Xenopus tropicalis: one gene and its partners. The protein of the gene in region 5 purifies or fractionates together with the protein of the main gene of each other region. This does not show direct contact. Links are inferred from orthologs where the notes say so. Each region holds a gene or a part of one and is shown on either strand. Other genes may lie near its edges. The genes, in order: smndc1, prpf3, u2surp, dhx15, sf3a2, phf5a and snrpd1.

The links.
Region 1: the proteins of sf3a2 (region 5) and smndc1 purify together in Homo sapiens (affinity purification with mass spectrometry; 4 studies listed by BioGRID and IntAct, with this or other methods). This does not show direct contact. The link is inferred for Xenopus tropicalis from reciprocal best matches to the Homo sapiens genes SF3A2 and SMNDC1.
Region 2: the proteins of sf3a2 (region 5) and prpf3 purify together in Homo sapiens (affinity purification with mass spectrometry; 3 studies listed by BioGRID and IntAct, with this or other methods). This does not show direct contact. The link is inferred for Xenopus tropicalis from reciprocal best matches to the Homo sapiens genes SF3A2 and PRPF3.
Region 3: the proteins of sf3a2 (region 5) and u2surp purify together in Homo sapiens (affinity purification with mass spectrometry; 3 studies listed by BioGRID, with this or other methods). This does not show direct contact. The link is inferred for Xenopus tropicalis from reciprocal best matches to the Homo sapiens genes SF3A2 and U2SURP.
Region 4: the proteins of sf3a2 (region 5) and dhx15 purify together in Homo sapiens (affinity purification with mass spectrometry; 4 studies listed by BioGRID and IntAct, with this or other methods). This does not show direct contact. The link is inferred for Xenopus tropicalis from reciprocal best matches to the Homo sapiens genes SF3A2 and DHX15.
Region 6: the proteins of sf3a2 (region 5) and phf5a purify together in Homo sapiens (affinity purification with mass spectrometry; 5 studies listed by BioGRID and IntAct, with this or other methods). This does not show direct contact. The link is inferred for Xenopus tropicalis from reciprocal best matches to the Homo sapiens genes SF3A2 and PHF5A.
Region 7: the proteins of sf3a2 (region 5) and snrpd1 purify together in Homo sapiens (affinity purification with mass spectrometry; 4 studies listed by BioGRID and IntAct, with this or other methods). This does not show direct contact. The link is inferred for Xenopus tropicalis from reciprocal best matches to the Homo sapiens genes SF3A2 and SNRPD1.

What each region holds. Positions count from the first base shown.
Region 1 is NC_030683.2:2,911,965-2,916,238, forward strand, and holds the start of smndc1 (survival of motor neuron-related-splicing factor 30), read left to right. Parts: upstream 1-1,474; 5' UTR 1,475-1,514; intron 1,515-3,002; coding exon 3,003-3,122; intron 3,123-4,274. UniProt on the Homo sapiens protein: Involved in spliceosome assembly.
Region 2 is NC_030684.2:127,691,370-127,694,869, forward strand, and holds part of prpf3 (U4/U6 small nuclear ribonucleoprotein Prp3), read right to left. Parts: coding exon 3,464-3,500; intron 3,364-3,463; coding exon 3,057-3,363; intron 2,207-3,056; coding exon 2,040-2,206; intron 1,719-2,039; coding exon 1,636-1,718; intron 867-1,635; coding exon 723-866; intron 477-722; coding exon 377-476; intron 1-376. UniProt on the Homo sapiens protein: Plays a role in pre-mRNA splicing as component of the U4/U6-U5 tri-snRNP complex that is involved in spliceosome assembly, and as component of the precatalytic spliceosome (spliceosome B complex).
Region 3 is NC_030681.2:119,887,916-119,892,132, forward strand, and holds the start of u2surp (U2 snRNP-associated SURP motif-containing protein), read left to right. Parts: upstream 1-1,417; coding exon 1,418-1,462; intron 1,463-4,217.
Region 4 is NC_030677.2:31,415,087-31,417,299, forward strand, and holds the end of dhx15 (pre-mRNA-splicing factor ATP-dependent RNA helicase DHX15), read right to left. Parts: coding exon 2,173-2,213; intron 1,587-2,172; coding exon 1,469-1,586; 3' UTR 501-1,468; downstream 1-500.
Region 5 is NC_030677.2:102,623,189-102,627,383, forward strand, and holds the end of sf3a2 (splicing factor 3A subunit 2), read right to left. Parts: coding exon 4,182-4,195; intron 3,657-4,181; coding exon 3,547-3,656; intron 3,079-3,546; coding exon 3,029-3,078; intron 2,655-3,028; coding exon 2,514-2,654; intron 2,250-2,513; coding exon 2,181-2,249; intron 1,220-2,180; coding exon 596-1,219; 3' UTR 501-595; downstream 1-500. UniProt on the Homo sapiens protein: Component of the 17S U2 SnRNP complex of the spliceosome, a large ribonucleoprotein complex that removes introns from transcribed pre-mRNAs.
Region 6 is NC_030680.2:120,351,134-120,355,429, reverse strand, and holds the start of phf5a (PHD finger-like domain-containing protein 5A), read right to left. Parts: upstream 2,801-4,296; 5' UTR 2,667-2,800; coding exon 2,615-2,666; intron 622-2,614; coding exon 598-621; intron 1-597.
Region 7 is NC_030682.2:65,070,037-65,074,257, reverse strand, and holds the start of snrpd1 (small nuclear ribonucleoprotein Sm D1), read left to right. Parts: upstream 1-1,421; 5' UTR 1,422-1,864; coding exon 1,865-1,878; intron 1,879-2,094; coding exon 2,095-2,171; intron 2,172-4,221. UniProt on the Homo sapiens protein: Plays a role in pre-mRNA splicing as a core component of the spliceosomal U1, U2, U4 and U5 small nuclear ribonucleoproteins (snRNPs), the building blocks of the spliceosome.

The DNA of each region.
Region 1 (4,274 bases), on a different chromosome or scaffold from region 5:
GCAGATTTACTTTTCCAAACTAGCCCAGTCAGTTCTAAAACCAGCCCAAAACCAGCCAAAAGCCACTTTAAAAGTAGCCCAAAAATAGCCCAATATGCGCAATGAAAAGAAATCTAAAAAAATAGAAAAGTATTTGGAAAAATCTGCCTTTTTAAAGCGTATAATCCCTACCCAAGCCCTGTGCCCCCTCTCCAGTTACTGGGGTGGCTGATTATTCCCTCTGTGCCCAGTCCCACTGGGAAGTCACTACAGCAATGAATTCAGAATGTTGTATTAACCCCAGATATGATATACATACGGGTGCGTTGGACTACAACTCTCAGAAGCCCCAAGATACCCTGAGAGTTATAGCAGAACTGCCCCACATCCCAGTAGAAAGTAACAGTACAATCACATACCCTATAGAGCAGGGGGTAGAACTGCCCCACATCCCAGTAGAAAGTAACAGTACAATCACATACCCTATAGAGCAGGGGGCAGGGGGTAGAACTGCCCCACATCCCAGTAGAAAGTAACGGTACAATCACATACCCTATAGAGCAGGGGGTAGAACTGCCCCACATCCCAGTAGAAAGTAACAGTACAATCACATACCCTATAGAGCAGGGAGTAGAACTGCCCCACATCCCAGTAGAAAGTAACAGTACAATCACATACCCTATAGAGCAGGGGGTAGAACTGCCCCACATCCCAGTAGAAAGTAACAGTACAATCACATACCCTATAGAGCAGGGGGCAGGGGGTAGAACTGCCCCACATCCCAGTAGAAAGTAACAGTACAATCACATACCCTATAGAGCAGGGAGCAGGGGGTAGAACTGCCCCACATCCCAGTAGAAAGTAACGGTACAATCACATACCCTATAGAGCAGGGGTAGAACTGCCCCACATCCCAGTAGAAAGTAACAGTACAATCACATACCCTATAGAGCAGGGGGTAGAACTGCCCCACATCCCAGTAGAAAGTAACAGTACAATCACATACCCTATAGAGCAGGGAGCAGGGGGTAGAATAGACAGGTTGAGCCTGAAACAGCAAAAAGGAATACAAAACAGAATGTCTATACTGTCCAATTGCATGCTGGGTATTGTAGTTTTATATCATTACTAGCTGTAGGCTAATTGTTACATACAAACTACATTACCCAGCATGCAGTGGGACAGGCACACTAGAGGGGAAAAAAAACTTTGGCTACTTTATAAACTACAAACCCGCCAAGGCTCCAAACAATAACCCAGAACTGTACCTTGGGCTAGTAGCCCAATTTGGCGGGAAAACCACCAACCCGACAACCCTCACACAGACTCTCTCACAGGCGGCTCTCGTATTCTTGCCCCTCCCCCTAGAGCGCAACCGACGCCACTTTGGCTTCTCCCCTGGTCGCCATGGCAACCGTCTCTGCGTGCGTAAGAGCCGGGGGCGGGGCGTCTGGGCAAGTGCGAGAGCCCGGAATTCTCGCGAGAAGAGGAGGGGCTGCCGGGAAGTGAGTGTTTGTGAGACGGAGAGCGACGCGGTGAGTGACCGGAGCGGGAAACCGGGGGATTGGGCGGCTGAGCGGCCCGGGGCTGGGTTACTGAGGGTCGGGGGGGTCGGAGTTGGCTTATAGTGTGGTGCTGGGCAGCCCCTGTCTCTATAGCGTTACCCCCGGGGCGTCCGGCCTCATGGGCCTTGTACTGTGTGTCTGAGCCCCCCCCCCCCATCCCTCCCCCCTACCGACACCCCATTGGCCACTTATGTTTGTACTCACCCCTCATTCACTCGGAACCGGGACTGGTCCTGTAGTTTGTCCCCAACCCATTCCTACTCATTCCTGTCCCTTATCCCTTCCCTCCCACTGTCTGAGGGAAACACTATGGCACCTCCTACCCATATGTATAAATACAAATATACAGAGAGGGAATGTTCTGGGCACACAATAAGCTGTACCCCCATACTGTACTGTCTAAGGGAAACACTATGGCACCCCCTACCCATATGTATAAATACAAATATACAGAGAAGGAATGTTCTGGGCACACAATAAGCTGTACCCCCATTACTGTACTGTCTAAGGGAAACACTATGGCACCTCCTACCCATATGTATAAATACAAATATACAGAGAAGGAATGTTCTGGGCACACAATAAGCTGTACCCCCATACTGTACTGTCTAAGGGAAACACTATGGCACCCCCTACCCATATGTATAAATACAAATATACAGAGAGGGAATGTTCTGGGCACACAATAAGCTGTACCCCCATACTGTACTGTCTAAGGGAAACACTATGGCACCCCTACCCATATGTATAAATACAAATATACAGAGAAGGAATGTTCTGGGCACACATAAGCTCCACCCCCATACTGTACTGTCTAAGGGAAACACTATGGCACCTCCTACCCATATGTATAAATACAAATATACAGAGAAGGAATGTTCTGGGCACACAATAAGCTGTACCCCCATACTGTACTGTCTAAGGGAAACACTATGGCACCTCCTACCCATATGTATAAATACAAATATACAGAGAGGGAATGTTCTGGGCACACAATAAGCTGTACCCCCATACTGTACTGTCTAAGGGAAACACTATGGCACCCCTACCCATATGTATAAATACAAATATACAGAGAAGGAATGTTCTGGGCACACAATAAGCTGTACCCCCATACTGTACTGTCTAAGGGAAACACTATGGCACCCCCTACCCATATGTATAAATACAAATATACAGAGAAGGAATGTTCTGGGCACACAATAAGCTGTACCCCCATACTGTACTGTCTAAGGGAAACACTATGGCACCTCCTACCCATATGTATAAATACAAATATACAGAGAAGGAATGTTCTGGGCACACAATAAGCTGTACCCTCATACTGTACTGTCTAAGGGAAACACTATGGCACCTCCTACCCATATGTATAAATACAAATATACAGAGAAGGAATTGTTTTATTCTCTAATATAAAGTGACTGTACATGACTGATTCCCGTTGCTGGTTCCTTGCAGATGGCAGAAGATTTAGCTAAGCAGCTGGCGGGTTACAAAGCCCAATTGCAACAGGTTGAATCTGCGTTAACGGCCAATGGCGAGAATGAAGATTTACTGAAACTAAAGAAAGATTTGCAGGTAATTCCCTTGTTAATAGCGTGGCCTGTGGCTTCTGTTTGCCCTGCCCGGCCAGTAAATGGGATAAAGGTCTAAGCCTTATTCTCCTCTGTTTTATTACTGCTCCCGGTGCATTTCCAGTGCACAATCCCCATTTTTATTGTCCTAAAGATCTTGTTTCCCCTTAACCCTTTGGGTGCCAGTAACATTTAGGGACACTTGTCTCTAGGCAACATGGTTTTGTCATTGCCTGTAACGTAATGCAGAAATGTATTCAGGTCTGTGGAGTCTACGTTTTGTGTCAGGAAAGCAGTTAAAGGAGAAATTAACCCTCCTAGAAGGCATATGGAACAGACCCACTGCCCTAACCAGATGCCCTGCCCAATCATACGTGACTAAATTAAAGGGGTGTGTTTGGTGGCGGCCATGTCTGCTCACAACACTGGCACAAATTGCCAACATGGAGGGTTCAAACTGGAAGCCAGTAACAGATTCACAGGAGGGGGAGGAGACTCCATGCAGGGGGCCAGATACTTACTACAAGGGTTTACTTCTCCTTTAGAACAAATCCACCATTCTGGCAGGATTTGTCCTTCAGGTCTTTATTATGGTTCTTCTTCCTCCCAAGGGCTCCAGTGCCTTTTTGTGTATTATTCAATCCTAGGAAAATTCCTTCCAAATATCTGATATATTGCCGGTCATTCTACAGGCAGCAAACTAATGCTTTATTAGATTGTAAGCTCTTGATGTACCATGTCGGTGGTAAGGAAGCAAATCTCGTCAGTTGTAGAGCTGCTTGGCACGGCTATATACAGCAGCACAGTTATTTCACTTGGAGCATAAAACTAGTACTTTACCTATTCCAGGAGTTGGATCTGTATTTGGCCAATATTTGGATTTGACTGCACCTTTATTTATGGTCATGTGGTTTTAAAGTAACCGACAGCCGGATGTCCAATCCCTTGTGGGGTGTTTGGCCAAATCCAAAATAATGGATTGTGTAGCCCTTAAAACAAGGTTTTATACCCCAGATGTTGCCCACTGAGTGTAGGCAGCTAAACTGGAGGGTCCATGTCGGCCTTCACCTCCTTGCAGTGAGGGTCTCTGACCCTGGACCTGAGCTGTGCTCCCCGCTTCCCTCCAGCAGTGGGTGCTGTTGCCATTATCCCACAG
Region 2 (3,500 bases), on a different chromosome or scaffold from region 5:
GCCCAAGAGCTGCAGGACCAATTACAGATATACTACAAGTTAATAGTCAAATTTAAAATGGTAGCTATCAAATGGGGGTTCATATCCCAGCCTTTTCCACAAATCACTGCCTGGTTGCTAGGGTACACACCATATTGTGGCAACCAAATAGGTGATTCAATTCCACTCTGGCAAGCTGGTGAAATGCAAATTCTCCATCTTTGGCAGGCTATTAGAATGTCTTTCTATGACTGCTGCTGGTCTAAAAGTTTGAGAATCTTTACTTATGTTAAATAGCGTTACTCTGGTTCCCCAGTGTTAAAGTGGTATTTATTAGTCCGCTGCCTCCCCTAACAATGCACTTAAACAGAAAAAAAAACCAAGGAAGTGATCTTACTTCTGTCTTTTTGCCATCTGTGCTCTGACATGTGCTTCTACTTTCGTGGGATCCTGGATTGCTTCTGTCCCCAAAACTCGCATGAGATTTGATATCCTCACTGAGAGAAAGAAAAGGAAAGGTTATGGTATGCAGTTGGGAATAGAACTGGGAGTGACTGCCGATAAAGTGGATTCATAAATCCTATTTTTATAATCTGAATTTAGGATCAACACAAAATTACACATTGATGCACAAGGGCATGCTTAATGCAGAACAGCCAATTTGCTTAGTTATTATGATAAAGTACAATGTCTTTTAACCATGACCTGTATTAATACCTACATGGAGCAACCAGGAAACTTACCCTTGGGTTCTGGCGGGGGCATAAGACCCAGGCGCACCTTTTCTTGTAACTCTTTCTGTGCTTCCCTTCTAGTCTGTCGGCGCAACTTTTTCTGTTCCTTTTTCGTCAGGTAAATTCCTAGTGTCACTGGAGCATCTCTGTCAACTGGATACATAGAAAACAGTGCTTAGCACATCTATAGTGAATGTATTTAAGCTGCCCTTCATGTAGTGTGTAGATTTGTGTTGTGCTGAGCAAGTATATGTAGAGGGTCCTAGACCCCAGTGGAACTCCTATACAGACTAAGAAATATCTGAACAAGCCTAAGCAAATATGGATTATAAATTTAGTCCCATGTACAGTCTTATTGGCAGGCGGTTTCATCAAGAAAGATCAAATTAGAAATCCAGTATCTATCTCAGCTGCAAGGCCAGCAACCAAACATTGAACTGGGCACTGCACAGAATTTGTATATATGCTCCCATGTCTGTGTGGGTTTCCTTGCAATTACCAGCTAGATACCAGCAGTTTATTTGACTTCAAATTAAAAAATTAATATGGCTACTTGATTGTGGGAACTTATTGTGTGATGCCCAATGTAAATAATAAACACTCAGTGAATTTACTGTGCTATGTAATCATATTTGATATTTTAAAAAGATAAGGAAAAACAGTATCCTCTGGGTGCTAATATGTAGATATCTACGTGAAAATGATGCAAGTAAATAATTGTGCACTGTTTAATATTTACTGTGCTCTAAAGTACTATCTAAAAAACATAACAGTAAGCATTGCAGCCAGCTCTTGACAGCTTAGCCACTCTGATCATATAAACTTATAAAACAGTCAATAATAATGACAGATACTACAGCTCATAGAATTATTTGCTAGACATTAAATAAGAAACCCTTTCTATCCTGTGTGTCGACATTACCTGGGGGGCTGAGCTGTGCTGGGTGCTCCACGAGATTTGTGATACCGTGAAAATCTTCTCTTTTTAATAAGGCTTCTTCTGTCCTGAAATATAAAAAAGGTGTTAGAAGCCGTGACATGTATTGTTGCAGCAGAAGTGCAGAGAATAAAAACAGGCAGATGATAACAGTTACATTTTAGTAACAGTTACATTCATGAAAGCCAGGGAAAATGTTTAATAAACATATATATTGGAAAGTTGCAAAAAGGGATAATATATAATCCCCTTACGCATAAATTTCTTACTGCAATATTTTTTTGGAATTTTAGAGAAGGCAGCCAAAAGTATAGGAAGCAAAGCTGTATTCCCATGACTATCAGCACTGAAATAGACCATATAAAAAAAATGGAGTGGGCCAAACTTACAGTTCTGTGCCATTAGGTATGATGAAAGAGTCCCACCACTCTATTTCAGGGATCTCTCCTTCTCGCAGCTCCTTTTTGGGAGCAATCAGGGCAAGTCTAGTTGATGTCTGGATACCAGTTTTCTTTGCAGCTTGGGCAATTTCAGCTTGCAGTTTCTCAAGTTGTGACTGTTGAAAAAAAGCTATAGTGAGCATGTTTATTTTGGTACACACTTTATTAGAGGCTACATTCATGAATGATGCTCTGGATACTTTTATTTCAACCACTAAAGGGATTTACTTCGATAAGTAAAAAAAAAAAAAAAAAATTACAAAAAAATACAAAAAAAGTTTATACAAATTAATCTTTTGTTTATATCTCTTAAGAGGTGTAGATATATACACACACACACAAAGCTTCTGTGATAAGGAGACCTCATTCTCTGCTTCATGATTTCTGTCTTTAAGATTAAGCTTTTCAACAGCAGCCCAGAGCACAATGTGCAGTGCCACTGACACTAAAAGGGGGGGTATGGGGTAAACCCGTGGACAATATTTAAAGGCTGGATCATTTCTTTTAGGGCTTTTAGCACAGTTCAGTATATAAAATAGCGTTTTTAACCATTTTTTTTTTTTTTTTGCTTTAGTTCACCTTGAACACTAATTAATAGTCAGAAAGTAGACATTTCCAGCAAATACTACTTTCTGGTAAGTTAGGTAGTTTGTCTACTGCAAAACCGGTTAGTATACCTTCAGATGGTTCATGTGAGGAGAGAAAGTTGCCTAATATATGACTAGAGCTGCATCACAACCATAGTTTAACATTTTGATGGTATACTCAAACCTGACTGTTTAGCAGAGATCCTTAATATTATTTAATACACATCATCATATTTAGAATAAAGTGACCCAGGCAAAAGTAACATGGTAACATGGATCAAGCAGCAGTTTATTCCTCAGTTTTTATTCCTTGTATTGTATTGAAATGGAAGAAAATTTAGCAGCACAACAAAAAAGGGCCACTCTGCCCTATTAATACCTTTGTCCGAAGCCGTTGTGCAATCTTCTCAAACTTGCCCTTTTCGTGGAATTTAAACAACCTTTTCTGGCGCTGTGAAGAGGCAATGGAAACTCTGGGGTCAAAAAACGTATTGGCCTCCAAGTCTTCTGAAGGTTTCTCCTTCAGCTGCTGTTTGAACTGCTCCCTTTTCACTGCCCGGATGTTAGCTTTTAGGGTGGGCATTCGGTGGGTCAGCTCAATCTCCTTTCCAGTTGCATCAACAGTGCGGCCCTGGTCGTCTAAAATTAAAGGCGTGGGCTTCGACTGGTCCTTTAACTCCACTTTACTAGTGAAAGACAAAGAACAAGGTACATCACATGATTGTGTTGCAAGGGTGGCACCAACAGACTGCCCAAGAAACTTTGCTATGAATGACCTTTACTTACGGAGGAGCAATTCCCATGGCGTGAAGGTTAGCCAGCC
Region 3 (4,217 bases), on a different chromosome or scaffold from region 5:
AGGGTAGGGCAGGCAGAGTATGGCACATACAGGCAGCATAGGGCAGGTAGAGTATGGCACACACAGGCAGCATAGGGCAGGCAGAGTATGGCACACACAGGCAGGGTAGGGCAGGCAGAGTATGGCACACACAGGCAGGGTAGGGCAGACAGAGTATGACACACACAGGCAGCACAGGGCATTTAGAGTATGGAACACACAGGCAGCATAGGGCAAGTAAAGTATGGCACACCCAGGCAGGGTAGGGCAGGCAGAGTATGGCACACACAGGCAGGGTAGGGCAGGCAGAGTATGGCACACATAGGCAGGGTAGGGCAGGCAGAGTGCTGCCTGTGTGTGCCATACTCTGTCTGCCCTATGCTGCCTGTGTGTGCCATACTCTGCCTGCCCTTAGCTGCCTGTGTGTGCCATACTCTGCCTGCCTTATGCTGCCTGTGGGAGGTGAACATGGCAAGGGTTTGTTTTGGGAGTTTGTTAGCAGTTGGAAATAGCCATTAAATGATCCCTAAGGTGTGTAATTATGTGCTGGGGGTTGCTATGCTATCCACAGGGGAGGAGGAGGCATATGGATTTCAGGGTATATATTAATATGACATAATATAATTCTTTTACATTTGAATGACAGTAGATATTCCCGCAGTAAGGACCAAGCATTTGGGTTTTTGCTGCGCTACCACCATTGTGATAAAATAGGTGTGGTTTAAAAAAGTGGAGTGGTCAAAAGTGACTTCCATTAGCGGCCCTCCACCATGTATGCGAGAAATTCCGGCCCTTGGCACCGCAGAAGTTGGACAGCACTGGTGTAGACCATAACCACTTAATGTGGAGTGGGTTATGCACTGTACCACTTCATGCGGATGGGAGGGTTTGAACCAAACCACCTGATGTGGACAGGTGTGAGGTCTGTACCACTTGATGTGGATGGACCATACCACTTTATACAAATGGGGGGACCTTACCACTGATACATCTCCAAATAATAATAATATCCTACAGGTTACCGCGTTTTAAACGGATCCGTTGCAGCAGCTCAGTCACTTCTCCGATGGCACAAGGGACATATTTCTGCTACAGAGAAAAGCTGCAACGTCACTAGCCAAATGAAATGCGGCAGCAGAATACTCCGGCATTATAACATATTACTTGCATTAATCAATGCACATGAGAAAACGAATGCCTGCGTGAAATCGCCACAATACATGTAAAAGACACAGTGTAAAGCTCATATCATCACTGCGACAATCACACAAAACACAATTCTGGAGCACGTCGCAAAAGTGACGCAGTTAACAATTGGTCTTGCTGAATGTTTCGGAAATCCATTATCCAGCCTTCTCAGCGTGCGAACTCTCGCCTACTCACATTCATAGCTCTCGGGTATCGATTGCTCGGCCGGGAGGAGGCGGAGATACGCAAGATGGCGGAGAAGACGTCTGGCGGCTCGCAACGAGCGGGGCAAAAGGTGAGCGCTTACTGGGATGCCCCGGCGCTGTGCTGTTTGTATATAGCTTCTGTTTGTGGCGCTCAGGGAAGGGAGGGTACGGGTATTGGCACAGATGCGAAGCCGCAGGCCTGGCTCAGCGATGTGCGCAGGAGTCGAGGCCTGGTCTCCTGGGGAGGCTCATGTACATTGGCTTTGGGGTTGTTATGGGCCTGCAGTTCCGGCTTTAGCAATGGGGCAATTCCAGCAACACATGGGGACCTTTAGCGTGCAGTAGGCGGCCTAGTGCTGGGCAAGCTTTCTGTAGCGCCGGGCAAGCTTTCTGTAGCGCCGGGCAAGCTTTCTGTAGCGCCGGGCAAGCTTTCTGTAGCGCCGGGCAAGCTTTCTGTAGCGCCGGGCAAGCTTTCTGTAGCGCCGGGCAAGCTTTCTGTAGCGCCGGGCAAGCTTTCTGTAGCGCCGGGCAAGCTTTCTGTAGCGCCGGGCAAGCTTTCCGTGAGGCAAAGCGGTGCCGCGCATTGGCTAGAACAGAAGAGAGGAGGGTTGGGAGGATTCTTTGGCGCTCCAGTAGCGTTAGTTCCAAGGCCCGGGGCAGTGTATGTAGAAAGTTGTAGGAGTGCAGTTTCTGGTATATGATATTCCAGCCAAGCTGCTTGCTTTACGGCCTAAGCCAGGGACATGGATGCCACAGTTGTTTGCAGGAAACACAACTAACTGCGACTTTCTGTACTGTAGGAGGCACATCTCACATAGGCTTTCAGAGGGTTTTAGCTCGACAGCAAATAATATATCCAATTCCTAGTGCCTTTTTTTCAACAAACGTAGGATCTAATCAGGTTCCAAACCGACAACATAGAGGGCCATGTATATTTATACTAGTAAACAAACAAACAAGTGGTACCTATGAAGCCGTGTGCATCTCCCTCCAGGTTTCATACTTTTCATCCCTCTTTCTGAAGAAAATTTGTTTTTTTTGTTAATTTGTTTCATAATATTCAGATGACAATATGTGGTGTATTCTAAAGCCCATACATGGGCCAAAAAAATCTGCTCACTTGGCCTCTCCACACAGCAACCTACGGGCCCATATATGGGGCACTTCCAGCATTCTGCCTAAAGTCACCAAATGACTCCCATATACAGGGCCAAATCAAACTAATCATAACGCTGTTCTGTGATGACATAAGGGAACCACATTCAGGCTTTGATACAGTCAACTGCCAAGATTCTCAGTATCAGATACCTGCTGATTTGGTCCTGCAAATGGTCATCATGTTGGGCAAAAATACCCTTGTTTGGGATCTGTTTGTGTGGCCACCCTTGTTTGGGATCTGTTTGGCCACCTTAAATTATACGGCTGCCTCAAGGGGTATAAAAGGGTGCTTTTACCTGCGTAGCACTAACTAGATCAATTATTTAACTGCAGGTATGTCTAATCAGTGCTTTCCTGATGGCTTTGCTTGTGGGATGTTTGCTGAAACCCATTGTTGAGCACAATGAAGTACAGTATGCATTGAAACCTAAAAGGTTTAGGATTCTTATGGGTCTAAGGCTGGTGGCAGTTATTCTGTGGCAACCCTGCTGACCTTACATGTTCAGATTTTAGTCAACTTCCGAAAACATCATATGTTTTAATGCAGTGATCCCCAACCAGTAGCTCGTGAGCAACATGTTGCTCCCAAACCCCTTGGCTGTTGGTCCCAGTGGCCCCAAAGCAGGTGCTCATTTTTTGATAACTTGGCTTGGAGGCAAGTTTTGGTGGCATAAAACCAAGTGAAAAGACAAACAGAGCCTTCTTTAGGCTGCCATTCCACATAGGGGCTTCCAAATAGACAATCATAGCCCTTATTTGGCACCTCCAGGTACCTTTTTCATGCTTGTGTTGCTCCCCAACTCTTTTTACATTTGAATGTTGCTCACGAGTAAAACAGGTTGGGGATCCCTGTTTTAATGCATCGATCTAAAACTAACATTCAGATTTAAATTGTAGGGTAAAGTACTAAAATAATACATTGGAGGGTGGTCTGAACATAAAATAATTGTCAACAGTTGTACCAAAGTGACCTCCCAGAAATGCATTGTAGGTCCCTCAAGGATATCGTCATATCAGACCAAAATTTTCTAACCTACCCAAATGCCTAAACAACTGGTCGCAAGTCTTAGGGGGAGATTTATGAAGACACGAACGCTCGGAGCGTTCATTCGCCAATTTTTTTCGCGTTTGCATGGCTTTTTCGTACGCTTTTTTTTTAGTGTCACTGAGGCCTAACAACTAGATGTATATATGTGTAACAGGTACGTACGTACACATATTTTCAAGTAGACAAACGACCCCTCAGAGACCCCTTAGGCTGGCAGTCACTCAGTCCCTCCCACAACTTATTCTATGCTGTAGTGATGGATTTTGGGAGGTAAATCTAACTGGTTTCAGAGAATCTTTGCATCGCCATTATGTTTTCTCCAGCTTAAATCTCTCTTCAGGTTGGGACTTTTTCTGCTGCCCACTCTGACCAAGCCTCCATGGAAATAATCCAACCCATGGCCTGCCTTCTCACACCTTTATTTGCTTAAAGAGCACCGATCACTGGAATATTTCCCCCCACTGTAGATGTGGCATACTAAAGTCCCCAGCCAGCCCTGTGCTGCCCACACCAGGAGGGAGCTTCCGCTGGGAACAGCCATTCTCAAATGGTTTTGTTTCCCCCAACCAGACGGCAGGTTGTATTACCCTGCACCTCCTGTGCTTCGTTTTACCCCAATAGGTGCATCTGCTTGCTGT
Region 4 (2,213 bases), about 71 Mb from region 5:
TTCAGAAGAGCAGAAGCCAAACAAAGAAAAAACGCTGAGCTTTGTAAAGCAAGTTCCCATAAGGCCTCACTCCTGCACCGAGACCGAGACCAAGTGTACATGCTCAGTTAGTTAGAATATGAGTCAGCTTCCTGCTGATTGGCTCAGATCCACATTCCTATGGGGGGGGGGGGGGGGGGGGGAGTTTTTAGCATTCTTGAGGGAGGGGGGAACAGGAGAGGGGAGAGAGCAGAGTGCTGTGTGTCTCTGGCACAGGAATTACAGACAAGAAATCTTTTGACAGAGAACTCAGTGCAGCATTTCTGTGAGTGCTTATGGCTGTATTTACATAGACCTTTCTGATAAAGCTTAGTTTTTCTCTTTCTTTCTCATTTAGAAATTAAAATTCTATTGCAGGTATCATGAGCACAATTAGAAAATGTGTAGTTTAATAACATTCTTCTAGTAGAAACTCCACTTTGTGGCTACAATAAACTGTATTAATAAAGAAAAATGAAAAGTTTTGTATAAATAGACTTTATTGAAGCCAGGGCCCCAGTACTGAGGCTGATGTTTGGGTTTACAGATGCACCAGTTGTAACATTTCACAACTTCTAAAAGGAATGTCAACAGTTACACCAATCATGCGTAAAATTGTGTGATCATATACAGGGATGTGCAACCTGCGGCCATGGAGATAATGAACCGGGGAGGGCGATACTAAGGGGCATTTTTAAATAGGTGTTAAACCGCCAACAACAGCGCTGTTTTAAACACCATAGATCGCCATGTGAAAAGGACAGGGATTTACGAAGCTGTGTAATGATTTTATGCATATGTACAGGCAAACGTGGTATAAAAATAAGTGTTAGCTTAAAAAGAAAAGCTACTGACACTTTTTACACCACTTTAATTTCACTGAGTAGTGCCACGTATGGAACCGTGTCGAGTAATGGTGGGAATTTTGGGCGCTTTGTAATGGCACTAGTAATGGATTCCTGTGCTCACAGTATATGGCATTAATGCAGCCTACATTTTATTTACCACCACTTTTTAGGTGTAAATTATTTAACACCTCTTTTTAAATATGCCCCTAAGAATTCCAGGTCATTATCTGAAGAGCTGCAGGTTACCCTCATATACATATATATTTATATTTTTTTTAGAAGTACTTTCAAACATTTCCTAAGAAATGCCTATAACAATGTTATTTATAGAACTACTTCCAATAAATTGCAACACATTGATTGACTGTTCCAGCACAAGCAACAGTGTTAACACAAAGGGGAGCCATAAAGGTTCAATTGATGAAATAAGAATGTCATATTTACTGTAATGAAAGAAATTAAAAAGCTTATATAAAGGTCGCCACTGGACCAATACATAGTATACAAATGTATCGCTTCTTTCATTCGCTCAAACTGCTCTTCAGACAAGCTAAAACTTGCAAAAGAAAAAAACAACCCCCCCCCACCCCTAACCCCAGAACTCAGTACTGTGAATATTCCTTAGTCTGAAGTTTGGCCACAATGCGCTCCAGTTGCCTCTTTGCTTCACACTGAGGAAAGTTGCTCATGTCGTAATATTGAGCTGCAATTTTCACCAACCTGAAAAAGAAACATTGATTTTCTAAGTAAGGAAAACATTACGCAGATTTATAAAGCCAGAAATTTCACAGAATCAGGCTTTTTGTATAAGGTATATGCAAGTTCATAACAGTCAGATTAGCTTACTGATCGGCAGTTTGCTCAAGATAAATAAAGAGATAAATGTGCCTCTAAGGGTGAAGGCACACGGAGCTATTAGTAGCAGCTACTTGTCCACGGCTACTAAATGCCAGAAAATACTCTGCCATAGACAATACTGAGAATTGCCTCTTATACACAGTTAAGAGTAAATAATCAGCATTGTCTGTTTCTGTGGCCATGACAAGTAGCTGCTACTAGTAGCTGTGTCTTCACCCTAAGGGCAGTGGCATACAGGGAGATTAGTCACCCGTGATAAATCTTCACTACCGTGGGCGACTAATCTCCCTGACATGCCATCCCACCGGCACAAGTGTAAATCGCCAGTGGGATGGCATAGTAGTTTAGTAGTGACAAGTAGCTGCTACTAAGTACGAACACCTACCACTTCTACTACTACTACACATGCTGTGTGCCCCTAAGCTAATTAGCCCATTCTCCAACTTACCATTCAGGCTTTATATCTGTGCATGTGCGGATGTAGTTCTT
Region 5 (4,195 bases):
AAGGCATGTTACAAATACCTCCTTGCATTCAGAAAATATTAGTGATGCCTTTACTGCCAAGCTTTGTTCGAGATGCTGGGAGGTTCCCGCATTTTGGCCAAGCTAAGACCTTGAGTTCACTGTGGGATGCGCATTCCCAAACTGTGCTGTCCCATGTTTTTAATTTTTTTTACTTTGCAAAATGAATGGGATCCCTCACAGCTTATTTTTAGAAAGCCACCCCTGTGAAACTCTCCCATACCTTGTCCTTGACAACTCACAAAACCTCTATTGTGGAAACTCTGTCAGGGATATTGCTGGAATAACCAATGCACCACTCTGTAGTACATATTAAATCAGGAATTCCCAGTAGGATATTGCAGGCCTCAATCCATTTGCACAGAATGCAAAACAATGCAAATATGTTTTGTTTCAATTGACCATGCAAATCTTTGTTATTATAGCTTTGCTTCCTGTAACTAACTCTACTACATACACACAAAATGAGAAACCACATTATATTATTTCAAAGGTGGGATTTTTTTTTAATGATTTAAAACATACCACAAATAAAAAAAACTGGGAAAAATATGCTTATCTTTGAAAAAGAAATACATCAGTTGGTGGGAGGGGGTGGAGGAATATTTGTTGGTCCATCGCTAGGTAAAGGTGGCCTCATCATTGGAGGCATAGGGCCAGGTGGGAGAACACCAGGTGCTGGAGGTGGTACACCTGGCGCTGGTGGAGGAGGTACCCCTGGGGCAGGAGGAGGTGGAACCCCTGGCGTTGGAGGGAGTGGCACACCAGGTGCAGGGGGCGGAGGCACTCCTGGGGCAGGTGGTGGGGGTACACCAGGAGGAGGAATGCCTGGAGGAGGAATGCCTGGAGGTGGAACACCAGGTGGAGGCACAGCAGGATTAGGAGGTGGTGGTACACCAGGTGGTGGTACGCCAGGAGGAGGAAGAGAAGGTGGGGGCACAGGAGGGTGCACCCCAGGAGGAGGAACAACTGGGGCAGGTGGAAGCTGTGGTGGCGGTACAGGAGGTGCAGGTGTCCCAGGTGGCATTGGGGGCATAGGCAGTCCTCCTGGAGGAGGAGGCGGCATATTCTCAGGCATTGGAGGACGTGCTTGTATCCCATTGATGGCTGGAGGAACAGGTCTTTTAACACCAGGTGGTGCTGGAGGCAAAGTGGGTGCTTGTGGAGGCTTCTCCATCTTAAAGTGGAACTGTAGGAAAAACTGAAAGAGAGGGCAAAGGAAAAAGTGTTGAAAAGGTCACATACTGTAGCTCCAAGCCTTTACAAGGTAATCCAGAAGTATTCAGAAATGTGTAGAAAAACTAGAGTGTTACCAAACGGTTTCCGGCAACATTTTTTCGTGTGGATATAACCTTAGCCTTACACTATGATGATCTGATATTTGGCACTATGACTGAGGATTTTTTACAGTGGGGATATTTGTTATTTAAAAATGGAGTGGTGATGTAATCCATTTCAATAAGGGGTACATCACATTCAAATAGTTATTTAGTGTTTTACTTTATACAGTTTATATCTGGGAAGTCCTATATTTGGCTTTTTTTTTTTTTACATTTAGGCTTAAATACATTATGCTGCAATTTTCTCCATTTAGTGCCTATGCCTGTGGTAACTGGTTATACCCGGTGGCTGTATGTAATAATAAACAAAGAATATACTGCCTTTGTTGCAGTTACTACTAACCTACTACAATGTTGTTTAATGGTGATTGTGTATTTGTCTGATATTTATGCATTATTACCTTAAAGACAGGACTGGGGGGTTATTTATTGTTCCTTTATGGCTTTTTACTATACATTTATTTAAATAATATAAAAAAAGAATATTTATACACACAATGTTAAACCTCAGCCTGTTTGGCATTTAAAGAAAAAAGGGTAGGCAAAACTATTAAATTAACTATCCCTATGGCATACTGCAGGACTGTAGGTGTTTTGCCACCCACCCCTGTATAATTTGCAGCTTGGTGGGCAGCTTGTAACTGCCCTTCCATAGACTTTTATAGTGATCACCTGGGCACTGCGTACACAATCACACGTCAGGCAATTATCTTGTCTTGGAGGAAATATGCAAAATGTGCACAAAATGAACACATGTAATTAAGACTACTAGGGTACATACGTGAGGGATCCCCCTTTTGCACAAGATGTATTTTATATTACCTGTTTTGTCTCTCTGTTCCAATGTGTCCAAAACTTTCCCTCCACTTTGTCTATTTCTCGACTTGGGACCTGTTGGATAAAAGAAAAAGTGCTGTAGAAATTCCACAATTGGATACATGGATAAAATAATTCTTGTCAATTTTCAGTAGGTTAGTGCAGGCTGTACTAAAAATATGTCATTTTGCAGAAATGGTGGGTGTTTGGTACGCCTACTGAATCGTATTTGAAGAATATATAATTGTGTTATAAGGTGAGAAGGGTTTTGTATGTGCGAGTTTTTCAAAGTTATGGTTTCAAATGCTAGAGAAAGGCTTGCTCTATAGCTTATCCTACCTTAAAAGCAATAGTTTCATAGGGCTCTGCAGCCATCAGCAGGTACTGCCATCGTCTGTCTGGGGGCTCAATCCTCTGTTCGTATGCAGACATAAAGCGGTGTCGGGGCATGATACCTTCAGCTATCTCAGGATAGTCAATCTGCAGAGAAAGAAAGACAGGGCTGAAGCATCATTACAGCATGGGCACCCCTATAGCATCTGGAGCATCATTGACATATTGGTTATTGTTTTAGGGGTAACATTTATGACAATACTTGTTGTCATCAGTAATATAGAATTTTTTGTAATACAGGTATGGAACCTCTTATCCAGATTGCTTGCGACCCAGGGTTTTCTTTAAATCAACCAAATACAATTGTTTTGTCTCCAATAAGTAACAATTATATTAGTTGGCATCAAGTACAAGGTACTGTTTTATTATTACAGAAAAAGGGACTTTGTTTTTAAAAATCTAAATTATTTGTTTAAAATAGAGTCTAAGAGAGATGGCATATCAGTAAATCACATTATTACCTGAAACAACAAAGACTGCTGGGCCATTTCTGGATCTCTCTGCTTAGTCACTAGAAAATAAATAAATGTATGGCTTTATTATCAGTCAGTGAAATAATATCATTTACTCTTTCACATTCAAGATACAGGGCAGAAACAGCTGCAATGCTGAGTGGCCAAATCAATATCAGTGCAAAAAACATCACTAATGCTGGAAACATTTGCTAACAGGACTTCTAAATGTTTAAAACATTCTAACAGCAGCAACAAAAGGTAGATGAAAGTGTGACTGCATAATTCTGACATCCATCTGAAAGCACCTAGTGATATACCTGCACTGATGGGTGCAGAGGACTGTTGCAAGCAGATGATTAAGCCAAATGTTAGCATAACCAGTCTTCAAACAAAAAGATAGGCTATTAAATGTAAGGGTAATCCACATGTGACTGAGGATACCAAAAAAGATTATTATGTTGGAATCAGGGTTATAAACCACTGCATTCATATAAAAGACATATTGACACAACACTTAATCTCACCCTTGTATCCAGGTCGACCAATTTTGACAAATTTCTTCACTTCTACCTTTACTTTTTCTGGGGCAGGTTGTGCTGGTGCTTCCTTTGCTTCTTTGGCCGCTCGGCGAGCTCTGATCAAAAGGAAAAAAAAAAGTAAGAATGTCTGCAACTGTTCACAAAATGATCTTTAATAAGACAGTGCCAGAGAAATCAGTACAGCAATTTGACACAACTTAAAATGTTTAAAATTAAGGAGAATTAACCATTCCTCTGCCACACCTCTCGATCTGAGAGGTTAAGAGAATGGAGAAAGCCAGAACATTAAAACCTATGGCTCTGGCAGTTACTCCCTTGACTGCAAACACCATACCTTTTATGATCTACCTGCAGCAAGCGGTTAATAACTGTAGATGTTGTGCACAAACCCTGACAAGATGCATGGAGGACTGGTTTTGGTTGGAATTAAAAATGGGTTGGGTGGTTTCCTTTCCTACAATTATCTGTCAAGTTTGGGTTTAGGAAGGAATTCCCACCACAACGTTCAACTGAAGTACAGTTTGGGGGTGGCTATGTTTACATTCTTTAGATAAATAATGGAAACTTTGACTTGACATTGCTGTGTTTTTTAATGCATAAAATCAGCACATTTAACTTACAAATTTGTCTGATG
Region 6 (4,296 bases), on a different chromosome or scaffold from region 5:
CGCACTCCCAACAGGCCTGCCCGACCGATATCTGGCCTCAAATTGGCCAGATCTCGATGGGGCAGGTTAGAAAATCTAGTTGGATCGTGGACCGCATCGGCTCATTGATGCAGTCCCCGGACCGACTTTTCCTATACCTGCTGTTATAATTCGATCATTTGGCCCCAGGGATCGAATTACCCTGGATTCTCCCGATATCGCCCACCCATAGGTGGGGGATATCGGGAGAAGATCCGCTCGCTTGGCGACATCGCCAAGCGAGCGGATCTTATGGTGTATGAGGACCTTAAGTCTAACCTTACATGCACCCCACAACTACACACACTTTTAAACAGACTGTAAATTCTTGATTTTCCCCACTCAGCAGATGTTAAGCAATGTCATTTTTTTAATAATGTCTAATGTAATACAACTGCTGAATATAGAATATATAATCAGATATATCAGAGATATCAGATATAGGACTGGCAGCAACACTTAAAAACCATTGCTTGTTGAGAAATAATCAGTTGCACAAAGAAGACAAAGGTGAAACATTTTTTGCATATGAACAAATGCAATTTATATTTTAAAAGTTTAAGAATTATATATACTCACATTTTTCACAGAGTCTTCCAATAGCTGCAATAGAAAATTATAAATGTAAGTGTTTATATATATATATATATATATATATATATATATATATATATATATATTAAACAGTGGTCATCATGTTGTACACATATCTTAAATATCTAAAATGCTTTAAAGGACATGTAAAACAAACAAAAATGTAATCAGTGAACAGCCTCATTGAAATCTTTAAATACCTGCCACTCCTGTTGTTCAAACGGTTAATAGAAAGGCTGCAGTATCCCCTTAATCACTTAGGATTTCTTTTCCTCCTCTAACCCGCTCTGCCCCATCCCTTATGAATTGACTTCGGCTGGTGGCTAACGAGCATGCTCAGTTCTTCTTAACTCAGGTTACCAAACACAGCCTCCAGTCTAGCAGCCAATGAAGAGATCACTGCTGGTTTCCCTAGAAACGCTGCTCTCGCTGTGTAATCTGCTGGAGCTCAGTTTACGGTTACAGGGCACAATCCAAGCAGGACTTCTTGTTAAAGTAACTTTAATATGTGCAATTTACAGATGTTAAAGGAAAAGGAAAGGCTAAGTCACTTGGGGGTGTCAAAACGTTAGGCACCCCCAAGTGACTTTAATTGCTTTCCTTTTACCCCGGGCTGGTGCCCCTGTTAGGAGAAAAACGCACCAGCCTGGGGTAGCTGCGAGTGTGGTCTCCTCTTCTTTCTTTGCGCACTTGCGCAGTAGAGTGAAAAGCCAAACTTTAACAAAAAAGTCGGCTTTTCACTCTACTGCACATGCACCGGCCCAGGGATTTTGATGAGAAGGAAGAGGAGACACTTGCTCACAGCTACCCAGTGCTGGTGCGGTTTTCTCCTAACAGGGGCACCACACAGGGTAAAAAGTAAGCGATTAAAGCCACGTGGGGCTGCCTAACATTTTTTTCTCCTTTAATGTCACTAAAGATGTGCGAGAGAGAATATGGCCACCGGGTAAAGCTGCTATTTGCTTTAGGAAAATGTGATGGTTTTGGCAAACAGAGGGGTTATATGCAGTACAAATGGTAAAGTTTGGTTGGGGGGGGGGGTATGTGCCAACTTATATACGTGGTAGGAAGATAAATGGTTTACATGTCCTTTGAAAGCTGTAGTAAAGACTAGCTTTACTAGCTCCAACAACTTGCCAGTACAAACATGAAATTAATTTATAAATTCAGTAAGGCATTAATTAACCTCAAATGGTATTGGCTGGAACTGTTTCAGTATTGTATGTACCGACGTATCATTGCATGTATAGTATCAGATTACCAGGAGGTCCACAACAATGAAAGCCCTAAGCTTTAGAATTCATTATCTGTTATGTTAAATACAATGTAGCTTTAGAAAAAGGAAAACATTAAAAAAAAATAAAAAATACAAATCTGTGTTTCTATAGCACGCTGTTTTTTTGCCATTACACAGGTCACAGAGTAATCTCACCCATTCGATGCACCTAAACATTGTGTTTTGTCATTTTCCCTCACATTCATAACATAAGAAATTCATGTTGGAAAGCACTTCAATAGTAACATTACTGTGCAGATCACCTCTGTAATTATAATAATCAACATTTCCCTTAAATAAGAAGTTAGGTTTCTCTGCAGATTTCTGCAAATATAGGACAAGTTCTGTTGCATGAGTTTAAATAGGAAAGTCAGATTGTGCTTTAGTAGAATTGCAATAATCAAGGAGTTAGCATTCAGCGTATAACTAGATCAGGTTCAAGCTCCACCTCTCAAACTACAATCTGAAACATAAATATACATAACAATTATAAAACTGAAGTATTGTGGATAACAAATAAAAGAGGGTTAATGAAGCCCTGTGAGGGAACACATATACCTGTTACATACGCATACAAGGAGAGTATACACAAGTACCGAACGTGCTATCCGAATGATTTAGAAAGGCAATCAATAGAAACGGCCAATCTATAATGCCTACGAGAGGAGAGTTTTCTGTCCTCAGTTTTACACCGTTACACCGAACACATTACCCAGCGCAACTCACCCACGCCCGCCTGTTTTCTGCAAAAAATCAAATCTGGATGATGCTTCGCCATGTCTGTTTAAATTCCTTTCCTTCGCCGGCCGCGCGTTCACTCCAGTTCTGTGTTCCAAGCCTCTTTCTCGCCCATGGACTTTACGTCATTTCCTTGCTGTTACGCCTAGGAAACTTAGCTTGTGGGTTCCAATTGGTTAAAGAATCGCTTAGACGCTTCTCTTCCTTCTTGTGCGATGAACTTTTACACCGGATATCCTGTTAATAGGCGTTTCGCTTTATAAAAGATTTGCGTTTTTTCGGCCCCATAGTACTGTTTCCTTTAAAGGGGCAGTCTACAGCTAAACATACTTTGCCAAAAATAAAGTACAATAAAGAAAATGCAATTAAAATATATTCTATGGGGCAGATTTATCGAAGTACGATGTTCATACGTTTAAAAAGCATGATACAAAAAAAATCGTATCAAATACGTTTTTTTGTATCATGCTTTTTGAAGTACGAAAAATTTGTATTTAAGAATATAATAAAATCGGATCTTTACGATATATATATTTATATTTGAACAGTCGTAAAATGTGGGAAAATCTTTCTGACTTTGATCCTTCTGTGCATGATTTTGGAAGCCTCCCATAGGACTCAATGGCACTCTGCAGCTCCAACCTGGCCCAAGGAAAGTCTCCCATAGGGCTCAATGGCACTCTGCAGCTCCAACCCGGCCCAAGGAAAGTCTCCCATAGGGCTCAATGGCACTCTGCAGCTCCAACCTGGCCCAAGGAAAGTCTCCCATAGGGCTCAATGGCACTCTGCAGCTCCAACCCGGCCCAAGGAAAGTCTCCCATAGGGCTCAATGGCACTCTGCAGCTCCAACCTGGCCCAAGGAAAGTCTCCCATAGGGCTCAATGGCACTCTGCAGCTCCAACCCGGCCCAAGGAAAGTCTCCCATAGGACTCAATGGCACTCTGCAGCTCCAACCCGGCCCAAGGAAAGTCTCCCATAGGGCTCAATGGCACTCTGCAGCTCCAACCCAGCCCAAGGAAAGTCTCCCATAGGGCTCAATAGCACTCTGCAGCTCCAACCTGGCCCAAGGAAAGTCTCCCATAGGGCTCAATGGCACTCTGCAGCTCCAACCTGGCCCAAGGAAAGTCTCCCATAGGGCTCAATGGCACTCTGCAGCTCCAACCTGGCCCAAGGAAAGTCTCCCATAGGGCTCAATGGCACTCTGCAGCTCCAACCTGGCCCAAGGAAAGTCTCCCATAGGGCTCAATGGCACTCTGCAGCTCCAACCTGGCCCAAGGAAAGTCTCCCATAGGGCTCAATGGCACTCTGCAGCTCCAACCTGGCCCAAGGCAAGTCTCCCATAGGGCTCAATGGCACTCTGCAGCTCCAACCTGGCCCAAGGAAAGTCTCCCATAGGGCTCAATGGCACTCTGCAGCTCCAACCTGGCCCAAGGCAAGTCTCCCATAGGGCTCAATGGCACTCTGCAGCTCCAACCTGGCCCAAGGAAAGTCTCCCATAGGGCTCAATGGCACTCTGCAGCTCCAACCTGGCCCAAGGAAAGTCTCCCATAGGGCTCAATGGCACTCTGCAGCTCCAACCCGGCCAAGGAAAGTCTCCCATAGGGCTCAATGGCACTCTGCAGCTCCAACCTGGCCCAAGGAAAGTCTCCCATAGGGCTCAATGGCACTCT
Region 7 (4,221 bases), on a different chromosome or scaffold from region 5:
GTCCTGCGTGCTCACAAACTAACTTGAACAGTTATATCCCATGTGGCAGGAAGTAGAGTTTCTGGCTGTTATGTTAGACATCTGCTCACTCCAGCCTTTATAGGTTACATCCCCAACCTTTTATACATTCAAATGGAAAAAGTGTTGAGGAGCAACACAAGCATAAAAATAATCCTGGGGGTGGCAAATGAGAGCTATGATTGGCTATTGGTAGCCCTATGTGGACTGGCAGCCTACACAAGGCTCTGTTTGTCATTATACTTGGTTTTTATTCAACCAAAACTTGCCTCCTAACCAGAAATTCAAAAATAAGCACCTGCTTTGAGGCCACTGGGAGCAACATCCAAGGGGTTGGTGAGCAACATATTGCTCCTGAGCCACTGGTTGGGGATCAGTGCTTTAAGTAGTACTCATTGTGAGGGTATTGGGTCCAAGAAGTGAAGTGTAACGCTTGTTTGGCTATATATAGACAAAACCCATGCTAGTGTTAGGTTTAGAGCATGGGCTACATGCGACTCTCTTAGACAAAATGGGCCTTCGCTAGGTGGAAGAGACCATGCGGAGTAAGGGTGTAGTGGTCCCAGGCTCAGTGGAGCTGTTCCTTGAGATTCAGAAGGCAGCCAAAGAGAAAGTCACATCTCCTTGCTAGACACTATATGAGACTGCAAGGGGTGTGATCAACCCAAATAACCAATAAGGTGTAAACTATATACATGGGACTTTGCCCAGCAGGGGCGGGCCAAGCTGACCAGGCGCCCTAGGCAACCCGGTTGGCCACCCCCCACCCCCTTGCGTGTGCTTAGGCATTTGGCCACTCCCCCTCTCCCCGAATGGCGCCAAAACAAACGCAAGGGGGGGGGGTGCAATCCAATCGGTCATTGCCTCCACCACTAATTACAAGCGGTGGGGGCAATGACAAGTAGCAGGACTAGGGGTAGGCAGAAGAGGCTCCTGTCTGGCGCCCCCCAATCGTTGCGCCCGAGGCAGCTGCCTCTTCTGCCTACCCCTAGTTCCGGCCCTGTTGCCCAGTAACAGTACAAAATCAGAAGAGGTAGGATTTAAAGCCATAGGGGAGCTTAACCCTATGGGTCCCTACGGAAGATTCAAACCTCAGCACTAGTTGTCTAAAGGTCTCTAACAATGGGGATTGCAGACAGCATATCAAAAGCATGTAAAAAAAAAAAAATGCAGTGGCAGGTAAGCAGGTAAAGGGATGTTGTCTTCAGAAAACGAAACATTAACTTTTACCTAAAAATAAAGTTTAATAGTGAGAATACTTATTTTCATGCCATGCAATGCCAATGGCCAACCTAGATCCAAAATGAAATTTAGCTTCAATACCACGCCCTCTTCTACTTCGGCCCCGCCCCGATGGTGTTGTAGCGTTTCTGTTGAATTAAATGCACCAGTTGACTTTAGCTCAGCTATGTATGCTAAGTTTTTATTACAACAGTATTTCTTTATAAATGCATTGCGCTGTATTAGACGAAATTTTAAGTAATCCACAAGCATAAAAGGCTTCGCTGGAACGCCGCTTTGTGCATTTTATTTAAGCAAGTATCTTAACTGCAGTGTAGGCCTCCCCTTATAGTATTGCTTTTTAAAAGTCGAAAATGTAATTCTCCTTTTTCTACGTGGAGACAGGCTAGCGTTTTCATCTTCTATTACACATGTAACAAAAACTTCCGCCCTCGACTGGGGCTTCCGCTTCCGGATCTGACGTAGGTGCCGATTTCCGCTGGAACGTTGCTTTCGCTCAATGAGAATTCGGAGGGTCTAAAAGTAAATTTTCGCGTTTCATTTTGCCAGTCCTATAACCCTTTTCTGGCCGAAGGAGTCGGATCCGCGTTCGTATTAAGAAGTCATGAAGTTAGTTAGGTAAGCGTTTAGATTGTTATGGGTTCCTTCACAGAGGATGGTGGTGGATTGAGAGTTACGTTTGAGAGCTTTGTGTAAGTAGAAGATTACGGCGGGAAGTAAAGGCTCCGTCGGATAATAATGTATTAGCGAGTCTGCGTTGTAATATAAACTGTGTAACTAATGGGTTCATCACGAGCGGCTGGCCATGAACGCTTTTGTTTTTTTTTCTCATAGGTTTTTGATGAAATTAAGTCATGAAACTGTCACAGTGGAACTTAAGAACGGAACCCAAGTGCATGGCACGATCACAGGTAATACAGAGGGGCACATAAATATATACCATAACATTGCTATGTGTACTTAATGTGCACAATGGAAATACTTATTGATAATATCTTTATAAAAGAGACATACCATTTTGTCTTGCTTCAGTGTGTATTGGTTTATATACTACTAGCAAAGGTGTTACTGGTGGGAAATAATGAATTTTCTCAGACTTAATATATAAATAAGCTGTGTGCATCCATGATTGCCCAGTGGGCAGGTGGAACCATTTGCAAGCTGGCATTAAATAATGTGAATTACTGAAAGTCTAGCATGCACCCCAGTGCTGGATATGGCAACTTCAGCCAGCTCCTCTGATTGGTCTCACACTTATGAGCATTTGGATCTGTGGGTCAGGGTGAACATTTATTGGTAGGAGGTAGGTCCGGTGGGGAATATGTAGAAAAGGGGAAGCTTCCCCACAATTGTGGTTTGACTCTGATCATAATTGGCTGTGTATTAGTAACCCCTGTGGTGCAAAGAGCAGGGACTGGTTCTGGTCAATGTGTCTTCTCTGTAAGTCGGTGAAGCCATGCTGTTTTGAATACAGAGTGTAGGTCTTGTCATATACACATGCGTGTCACCTCAAAAATACAGTTCCGGCAGCATAGGTTACATAACTTCTGCTGTCTTTTGTTGCTAAGACTTGGCTTCTGTGCAGTAAGTTTTATTTTGATGGAATGTGCTAAGAAAAGTAGCGTTTATTGAAATTTTCGCCCAAAAACCCACTAGCCCCACCCACCTGTTTTACTACCTGCTGCCTTCTTTTCCCAGGCTGCATCTAGGCCAGTGGTTCGTGAGCAACATGTTGCTCTCCAACCCCTTGGATGTTGCTCCCAGTGGCTTTAAAACAGGTGCTTATTTTTGAATTATGGGCTTTGAGGCATGTTTTGGTTGCATAAAAACCAGATATGCTGCCAAACAGAACATCCTGTAGGTTTTTCAGTCCATATAGGGGTTACCAAATAGCCAATAACAGTCCTTATTTAGTAACCAAAGGAACATGTATTATGCCTGTTTTGCTCCCCAAGTCTTCTTATATTTGAATGTGACTCACGGATAAAAAAAGGTTGGGGATCCCTGATCTAGGCAAACCTGATAGGGAGCTGAAGCCTTCCTTTGTGTGAGTGCAGGGCTGTGATTGGCAACCCCCCCTCCTACTGTGTTTATGGCAGGGACCGTTAGGACACGCCCCCCTCCCTCATTTGAAACAGGGAACTAAGAGAATATTTTTGTTAATCCTATATGCCTCCTTTAAATTTTGTTGGATGCCCTAGTAAAGCACCAATAACTGCAAATAACAGTGATACTAATCTGTGATTACTGTTGTGTTCAGCCATTGGACAACTTCCCAGTTTATGGTACTCAGTGCTAATTTTTAAACCAGGGGCACCTAATCTCCCCAAAATGCCATCCCACCGACTAGAATGTAAATCGCCGATGCAGTGGCATATGCGGCAGGGCGATTTGCCGAAGTTGCAAAGGAACTTCGGCAATTTCTGCGCCATGTATGCCGTCCCACCGGGAATTACATTCTAGCCGGTGGGATGGCATTTCGGGGAGATTTGTCGAGTGGCGACTAATCTCCCCGTCTGCCACAGCCCTTAGTTTACAAAATATTCTGCCCCTGCTTGCAATGCCTATTCACATCTCCAACCTATTCTGTTGTGTTCTTTCATGTTACCACAAATTTGTTTGGACATGGGACAACAACTTGACAGAGACATCTCATCCGGGAGAAAGTCAACAGCTATTTTTAGTTACCAAAATTTTGGTCAAATAGAATGGGCCAGTCTGTTGTGGGCAGGGGGACCTGTCAGATTTTATCATACCATAGGGTACAACCAAATGCAACAAAACCTTTTTCAAAGATGTTCTTTTAATTTGTCATACGTTTACCTTAAAGGGCACCGATCGCGCTAAAATTGCTTCCCCACCAAAGTTGCAGGCTAATAGAGCCCACACTCTGGTTGGGAGATGCAGTAGTTTTTGGGTTTTTTTTAAAGTCTGTCTGCACTAGGCCGCCCCCCACCAGGA